Macaca fascicularis: one gene and its partner. The protein of the gene in region 2 binds, or shares a complex with, the protein of the main gene of each other region. Links are inferred from orthologs where the notes say so. Each region holds a gene or a part of one and is shown on either strand. Other genes may lie near its edges. The genes, in order: POLR2D and GTF2E2.

Region 1 (4,471 bases), on a different chromosome or scaffold from region 2:
TTTATCTCAAAGTATTAGAGATCGTTTTTATCTGCCCTTCTCTTAACAGTGAATTCCCCTAGAGCAGGAACCATTCATAAACATGAATTCATGTTTATAATCCCTCACTGAAAAGGAAGCAACAGTGAGGAAAAGCCAGAATGACTTGCAATTTCACATTTACACGTGCTATAGGTCTGTTTATTATCGGGGAAATCACTAACACCTCCCTCAGAGTAACGCCTTCCCAATTCTCAAGCCGGGTAACTGACAAGAGCCTCATTCTCCTTTCACGACACAGACAGTTTAAGTGGTAGGTCAGGAGGAAAGTCTATTTTTATTTGAAAGGTACTCATTGCTACTGAATATAATAGGCTACCAATACAGCTGGAGCACTATTGAAATAAAATTAAAATCTAAATAAAAAAATAGGTAACCAAAAGCTATTTTCTACCTGAGGGCAGGAGAGTTTAAACAAAAACCTCAGAACACCTTTTTCTGTCTTCCAGCCTATAACAGGGGATGTACTACAGTGAGTGCCTATTTGTATACCAGGAACTTTACTACTTTTAATCTTTAACACTGAGGCACTGTAGGTACAGAAGAAACTACTGCCTCACAGCAATGAGTAGAGGAAAAGGCATTATATATCAGGACTGCAGGACCTCCAAACTCTGAAGCGACAGTAACAAATGACATCAGGCCAAAACAAAAAAGGGAAGAAGTAGCTAATCAGTTACAAATCGGTGTGTTGGAACTTTGATGCTTTTACAGGTCCTGGAAAAATCAATGTTAAGAGATGCATCCCAGGCTGGGCGCCGTGGCTCATGCCTGTAATCCCAGCACTTTGGGAGGCCAAGTCAGGTGAATCACCTAAAGTCAGGAGTTCGAGACCAGCCTAACATGGTGAAACCCCATCTCTACTAATACAAAAATTAGTCGGGCATGGTGGCACATGCCTGTAATCCCAGCTACTCAGGCTGAGGCAGGAGAATCGCTTGAACCCAGGAGGTGGAGGTTGCGGTGAGCCGAGATTGTGCCACTGCACTCCAGCCTAGGCAACAAGGGTGAAACACTCTGTCTCAAAAAAACAAAACAAAACAAAACAGATGCCTCCCTTTCTGCACTAAACCAAAATTACTTGTTAAATGGAAAGGAATGGAACTTTTAGGCCACCAGGAAACTAGTCAGCTGTCCCTATTTCTCATTAAGAACAATATTCAAGTACTACTAATACATTACCCTCACTCCCTTCAACCAAGGAAGGTCAAGGCAGCCAAACTGTAACTCAGAGGGCCTAGGAAAGGGGTGTCTGAGACCTACCACAGAGCTTTTGGGAGGCATTCCCAGGATTCGGCATCAACAAAATGGGGATGGGGGAGGCAGTTCAGACACTTTTGTATAACTACGGAGAGGAGGAATCCAAGACTTCTCCCCATGGCTAATTCCAATAAACATTTTCAAGTGAAAGCATACACACACACACACACACACACACACACACACACAATTTATTTGGAAACAAAAGGAAACAGATCAGGGGATCTGCATGTTATTCTCTCTTGTGCAAATATTTTAAGAACAATGGCCATAATTAATCCCTGTTGCTAAAAAAGGAAAACAATTCCTTGGCCAGTATGTCATCTGGAAATTTTAGTAAGGTTCCGTCATCACGACCATTAATAGGCCCGGTGCAGTGGCTCACACCTGTACTTTCTAACACTTTAGGCAGCTAAGGCAGGTAGACCACTTGAGCCCAGGAATTCAAGACCAGCCTGGGCCACATGGTGAAATCTTGTCTCCACAAAAAAAATACAAAAACTAGCCAGGTGTGGTGGTGTGCACTTGTAGTTCCAGGTACTCCAGGGGCTGAAGTGAGGTGGGAGGATTACCTGAGCCTGGGAAGGTTGAGGCTGCAGTGAGCTGTGATCACACCACTGCACTCCAACCTGGGTAGCAGAATGAGATCTTGCCTCAAAAAAAAAAAAAAAAAAATGCAGGGCGAGGTGGCTCACGCCTGTAATGCCAGCTCTGTGAGGCCAAGGTGGATGGATCACTTGAGGTCTTGAGGTCCTTATCCCTAGGAATACCCTCCCCAACCACTGCGTGCCTGAGAAAACTCGAGGCTGCCAAAATAATTTGTTTGGGCCGGGCGTGGTGGCTCACGCCTGTAATCCCAGCACTTTGGGAGGCCGAGGCGGGCGGATCACAAGGTCAGGAGATCGAGACCACGGTGAAACCCCGTCTCTACTAAAAATACAAAAAATTAGCCGGGCGCGGTTGTGGGCGCCTGTAGTCCCAGCTACTCGGGAGGCTGAGGCAGGAGAATGGCGTGAACCCGGGAGGCGGAGCTTGCAGTGAGCCGAGATCGCGCCACTGCACTCCAGCCTGGGAGACAGAGCGAGACTCCGTCTCAAAAAAAAAAAAAAAACAAAATAATTTGTTTGTTCCAGCCAACGGCTGAAAACAGGCCTCTGTCTCTCCGCCTCGGTGGGAGGGTAGGGGCCTAACTTCGATAGATGCTGCAGTCAACAAACCAAGGTGGGTTCACACGGACCCTCCTCTTCCCTCTTTTTTACATTTCTCACTTCCCCGACTCCCCTGAGCCCCCGCTCACCACATCCTTATTCCCTAACTCTCCTTTAAAACGCCCAGAGGTTCGGTACTAATCGAAGTTGAGTTCGGTTCACGCTGGACTCTTCTCCCTAGTGCAACGTTCTATCCCTGTTTAAAAATCTGTCCTCACCACCTGGGTTTCCGGCTTTGTTTACCTTTGACACCAGCGCCCGGAACTTCGCAGTTTGTTATCACATAAAATAACCCAGTTGCCCAGGCGGCCACTCCCAGGTCCACGTTCCCTCCCCAGCCCTACGCCGCGCGGGGGTCTGCCCAAGCCGCCGCCGAGGCCAGGCCTTGGGCGAAGCGCGGATAACGCCAGGCCTGCGGCGACCACGCGAAGTGCCGCGGGGCAGTCTGGCGGCCCCGAGCCCAACCTTTAGGAAAGATGAGCTGTGAGGCGTCCTCCTCTACGTCGCCAGCCCGCGGATCGCCGCCACCTGCTGCCATCGCTGAGTCGCGCGCCACCACCAGCGCCGCCGGAAGCGGAAGCGCGGAGCAACGGCCACGGAAGGGGCGTGGTCTTGGGAGGGGCCCCGAGGGGTGGGCGGGGCCGGGAGTGTGAGGCTGGCGGGGCGCAGCGAGGGGACCTGCTGGTGTTGTCCCGGAGGCTCCCCGCCGCCCAGGGCCGCCCTGCACTCCCTCTCCTCCCTCGCGCCTCGCCGCGCAGACGTCCTGGGGTAGGTCCCTAGGCCTTTCTGGGCGGAGAGGGTCAGATGAGCTGCAGGAACGCCTGCTGATGGAGAGCAGGGCAGCCGACTCCGAACGTGCCGGGTCGAATTTCTTTCACTGACTTACACTTCTAAAATTTTATTCATTTGTGATGGATTATCTAATACTTCTGAGCACGCGGACAATGATATTCAGAGGCTTTTACCACACGTCTGTTGGAACATTTGGGTGATGCATAGAAAATTAAGCAAATGACGGCCGGGCACAGTGACTCACGCCTGTAATCCCAGCACTTTGGGAGGCCAAGGCGACGGGATCACCTGAGGTCAGGAGTTCGAAACCAGTCTGACCAAAATGGTGAAACCCTATCTCTACTAAAAATACAAAAATTAGCCGGGCATGGTGGTGGGCGCTTGTGATCCCAGCTACTCGGAAGGATGAGGCAGAAGATTCGCTTGAACCCGGGAGGCGGAGGTTGCAGGGAGCTGAGATCGCGCCACTGCACTCCAACCTGGGCGACAGAGCGAGACTCCGTCTCAAAAAAAAAAAAAAAAAATATATATATATATATATATATATATATATTAAAAAAGAAAAAAGAAATGCAAATGAAAAATGATGCTGTTTTCTACACTGGAGAAAACGAAAGGTTGTACAATAAAGGAAATAATCGTAGCTTATTAGTCAACGATATCTTAGCTCATTAGTCAACAATGTTTAGAAGGTCATATTGTAAACTCTGTTGATTTAACAACAAATGAATTGGGCCGGGCACAGTGGTTCACGCCTGAAATCCCAGCACTTTGGGAGGCCGAGGCTGGAGGATCGCTTGAGCTCCAGAGTTCAAGACCAGCCTGGACAACATAGTGAGACCTCCTCTCTAAAAAATACAAAAATTAGCCTGGCGTTGTGGTGCGCGCCTGTAGTCCCAGCTACTGGAGAGACCTAGGCGGGTGTATCGCTTGAGGGATGCAGTGAACTATGATCGCCTCACTGCACTCCAGCCTGGGCAAGAGAGAGAGACCGGCCAAAAAAAAACAGGCAAAGTCCAGGCGCGGTGGCTCACGCCTGTAATCCCAGTACTTTGGGAAGCTGAGGCGGGCGGATCACCTTAGGTCAGGAGTTTGAAACCAGCCTGGCCAACATGGTGAAATCTCTCTCTACCAAAAAAAAAAAAAAAAATCTGGGGCGTGGTGGCGGGCGC
Region 2 (4,241 bases):
GAAAATTTCCAATTTGGATGGAGGTGGTTTGAGGCAACTTCTATGTTGTGGTTGTTTGTCCAGTTCTAAAATTACAACTGTAAGCAACTTCAGTACAACCAGGGAAGCTACAGGTCAACCAAGAAGAATTCTAAACACTCCTCTCTTCTGAACTCTGCTAGAACCTTGCAGAGGGTCTATGAAGACCTCAAGCTGACTATATAAATGAATTTGACACTGTTAAGACTAGTGTCAGCTGGGAGGAAAAAGACTCATACTTTGAAAGCTTCTAAGCACAGATAGCTCAATAAATGTTAAATGAACAACACATGGAACAACATCTTTAAATTGCTCTGGTCCCATTATTACTGGTTTCACAAGCCTTTATTAAATGTCTTCTGTTTGTGAGGCACTGTGCTCTAAGCTTTGAAAGGTTATGGAGGATAAATCCTTGTCTGCGTGCTGCTTAGATTTGAGGAAATGGAGCATTCAGCTAAAAATTTAAAATATAAGCATTAGTAAGAAATAATCAGAGTGAATTCCAATTAAGGCGTGAACAATCACTGTACGGTGAATCAAAAACCTGCCTTCTCTCAGTATCAATTTTTTTTTTTTTTGAGACAGAGTCTTGCTCTGCCGCGCAGACTGGAGTGCAGTAGGGCAAAATCGGCTCAATGCAACCTCCGCTTCCTGAGCTCAAGCGATTCTCCTGCCTCAGCCTCCCGAGTAGCTGGGGCTACAGGTGCGAAGCACCACGCGCCGCTAATTTTTGTACTTTTAGTAGAGACGGGGTTCATTCACCATGTTGGCCAAGCTGGTCTTGAAGCCCTGACCTCAAGTGATCCGCCCACCTCAGCATCCCAAAGTGCTGAGATAACAGGCGTGAGCCACCACACCCGGCCTCAGTTTCAATTCCTAAGAGCCACCTGGCTAGGCAACCCACAAGGCCTCTACATTCAATTTCATAAGTAAAATGAGGACGCTGCGAAAGCTATCCACATCCAGCCCAATTGTAAGAATGAGAAAACGTGTGTTATTTTTTAAATAGTAAAGTCATAAAAACATATGTCATTTCAGTATTACTATTTCGAGTTGGATCTGAAAGAAAAGAACGATTTACTGCGCTGAGGAAGGTAGGAGACAGCCTTGGGAGGAGGGAAAGCGTGGGGCCGAGAACAAGAAAGGAGAATTGTTAAGTGAGAAGGTGGGGGCAACAAGCTGATTGTGAATTTCTAGAACAGGAAACATTTGTGTCTTATTATTTCACGTTGCAAAGGCAGGACCTTAATCTGGACTTTTAAAAAACGACTCTAAAATATTTAAATAGGCCGGCCGCAGTGGTTCACGCCTGTAATGCCAGCCCTTTGGGAGGCCGAGACGGGCGGATCACGAGGTCAGGAGTTCTAGACCAGTCTGGCCAACATGGTGAAACTCCGTTTCCGCTAAAAAATTTTTAAAAATTGCGGGGCGTGGTGGCGGGCGCCTGTAATCCCAGCTACTTGGGAGGCTGAGGCAGGAGAATCGCTTGAACCAGGGAGGTGGAGGTTGCAGTGAGCCAAGATCGAGCCACTGCACTCCAGCCCGGAAGACAGCGCGAGACTCTGTCGGCACAAAAAAAAAAAAAAAAAAAAAAAAAAAGATGTAAATAAAGCCGTACAGTTTACAACAAACTAAATGCTTACAGTATTTGACCCTCGCAACTCCAGGAGCAAACAGGTATTAGTGTCATTCCTATTTTAATACATGAAATCTGAAGTGAAGCTGTCTGGTTAAGGTCGCACAGATGGAAGAGCCAGGGCCAGAACCCAAACCTCCTGACTCCTAACTCAAGTGCTCCTTACAACAGATCTGGAATGCTGGTAAAGGCCTTTAAAACAAAGGCCACCTATGAGGTTCGGGAACGTTCAAAGGCATCTAGAGCAGAAGGCTTCGCAATGTCTTCACGTGCTCCGCCTAACTTTTCCTCCTTTTTCAAAGACTACTCAATATGTGTAGTACGCTTTAGATCTCTGGACCCACCTATGTAGTAAACAGGTTACATCACCATGTTCATTTTACAATTAAACAAAACTATCACAACTCAAGGAGTTGGCTGGTTCCTCCGCGGGCAGATATGGAAAACCCAAAAATTAAACTGAAATCTGCCTCCAAGCCCACGATTCTTGCCATCATTCGACCTCTTTCAACCTTCCTACCTCCCCTCTGTTTTACTTTTTCCCAGCCTCGTTAGTGTCCCTGGCACCTCAGGATCCGGCCATGAAAAGCGGGCTGCTTCGCCCTTAAATGACGGAAGTGAGGAGGTGGGCGGAAAGCGGGCCGCAGCATTGTTGTGGAAAACGTCTTTAGACTTCAGAAATCAACTACTATCGTTAATGTTTAGGGATCATCACAAACCAAGTCTCCAAAAGGTAGCCCAGAAAGCAGTCCGCGTACAAGCATCATTTTAAATCACAGCCTTGAGCTGGCTGGACCCCGTGGCTCCTCAGACTCCACAACGTGGTTCGCTTGGCTACCGCGCCCGTGAACTTGGAGGCTTGGAAGAGGCACAATCAGGTAGCAAACAGCGAATTTTCCCTCTTTCCAACCCAAAAGTTTGCTCAATGAACCTCCGGCCTAAAGACAATGCTCCGGGGAACGGTTCGCGTGCTCGGTGTTTCGCTTCCAGAACGGCGGCCCCAGCTTCCCGTGGGGTGGAGGTCACGCTCAGCCTCCCGGGAGGCGGCGGCGCGCCTGGATCCTGGGGAACAGCAGGACGGGGCTCTGCGCCCCTCACCCGGCGGCCGCAGCCCCTACCTGAGTGAGGCGGGCAGCCTCTCACGACTCGCCGCCCAGTTCCTGCGCCTCCGCCTCGGCCAGCCGCCCACGCCGGCACTGCAGCCTCTTCCTGCTCCTCGTCAGCGCCCCCGCCTGCCCGCACGCACGCCCAGCGCTGACCCGCCAGGTCGGGGTCTCGCCACTGGCGGCGGCGGCGGCGGTGGCTGAGGCGACGACTCGACCCGGGACTCCGCCCGCCACTTCCCGATCTGGTGCTAGGAGCTCAGTCCCGGCAGCCACCGCGGCGCCAGGGCAGCGAAGCGAGCGCATGCGTCATAGGGTGCCCCGCCTCTGGTGCCGCGGGAGCAGAACTATCCCGCTGTGGCGTCCTGGAGCCTCCATGACAACGAGGGAAGGGCCGGGGCGGGGCCGAGGAGTGGACTGAAGTGGGAGGCGGTGCCAAGGAAGATGGAAGACAGCTTTCTTTACGCACATTTAATTAAAGCTGCTACAGCCTGCTCCCGCCTGCGCTGGGATGTGGTGAACCCAACCAGCGACGCTATCTTTCAATGGTTACTTTGTGTTTTTTGTCTTTTTCTTATTAGAGATGGGATCTCACTTGGTCGCCCAGGCTGGACTGCAGTGGCGCGATCTCGGCTCACTGCAACCTCCGCCTCCTGGGCTCAAGCCACTTTCCCACCTCAGCCTCCGGAGTAGCTGGGATCACAGGCGACTGCCACCACGACGGGCTGATTTTTGTTGTTATTGTTTGTATTAATAGGGTCTCACAGTGTTGCCCAGACTGGTCTTGAACTCCTGAGTTCAAGCGATCTGCCCGCCTCGTCTTCCCGAAGTGCTGGGATTACAGGCGTGAGCCACCGCCTCCGGCCTCAACGGTTATTTTGTGAGTTTACCCCAGTGCCACCCACCAGCACCTGCTCTCCGAGAACGCGGTTCCAGCTATTTTACAAGCGAAGAACAGAGGGCCAGGAAGCTAATTAATAAATGACTTGCTCAAGACAGCACAGCTAGCAAAGGCAGCATGATGTGGAGCTCAGCCCAGCCTCTTCCCTCCACCCCTGTGAACTGTCTTAGAAAAGGATTTTGGATTTAGAAGCCAGATAAATGGGTGGAAATAAAGCAATGGAAAAAATAATTGTCGTTGCTCGAACCCTGCAGCGTGGCAGGCCTTCCCTCACTCTTATAACCTAAAGCGCCAGTACAGCCAGTGCTCAGCCATTCTGTGGCTGTCGTTGAATTACTTAACTACTGGTTACTCTTCAAGTTACTAAAACTGTGGCTCAGTTTTCTCACCTGGAAAATCGGGATAATCATTGTACTACTACAATGAGTTACTTGCATTGGACTGTGGTGAAAATGAGAAATACCTAAAATTTTATTCAAAACTTGGAAAAAAGTCAAAAGATAATATTTTGTGACCTTTTTGATTAGTTTCATTCTAGAGAATTTTGTAATAAGCCTACTTGATCATCTGACACCCACAGGAA

The links.
Region 1: GTF2E2 (region 2) and POLR2D share a complex: the UniProt entries of both Homo sapiens proteins name them as parts of the TBP-based Pol II pre-initiation complex. The link is inferred for Macaca fascicularis from reciprocal best matches to the Homo sapiens genes GTF2E2 and POLR2D.

The regions. Positions count from the first base shown.
Region 1 is NC_088386.1:3,674,953-3,679,423, reverse strand, and holds the start of POLR2D (DNA-directed RNA polymerase II subunit RPB4), read right to left. Parts: upstream 3,071-4,471; 5' UTR 3,046-3,070; coding exon 2,973-3,045; exon of another isoform or gene 2,751-2,972; intron 1-2,750. UniProt on the Homo sapiens protein: Core component of RNA polymerase II (Pol II), a DNA-dependent RNA polymerase which synthesizes mRNA precursors and many functional non-coding RNAs using the four ribonucleoside triphosphates as substrates.
Region 2 is NC_088382.1:33,860,863-33,865,103, forward strand, and holds the start of GTF2E2 (transcription initiation factor IIE subunit beta), read right to left. Parts: upstream 3,019-4,241; 5' UTR 2,413-3,018; exon of another isoform or gene 2,175-2,412; intron 1-2,174. UniProt on the Homo sapiens protein: Recruits TFIIH to the initiation complex and stimulates the RNA polymerase II C-terminal domain kinase and DNA-dependent ATPase activities of TFIIH. Both TFIIH and TFIIE are required for promoter clearance by RNA polymerase.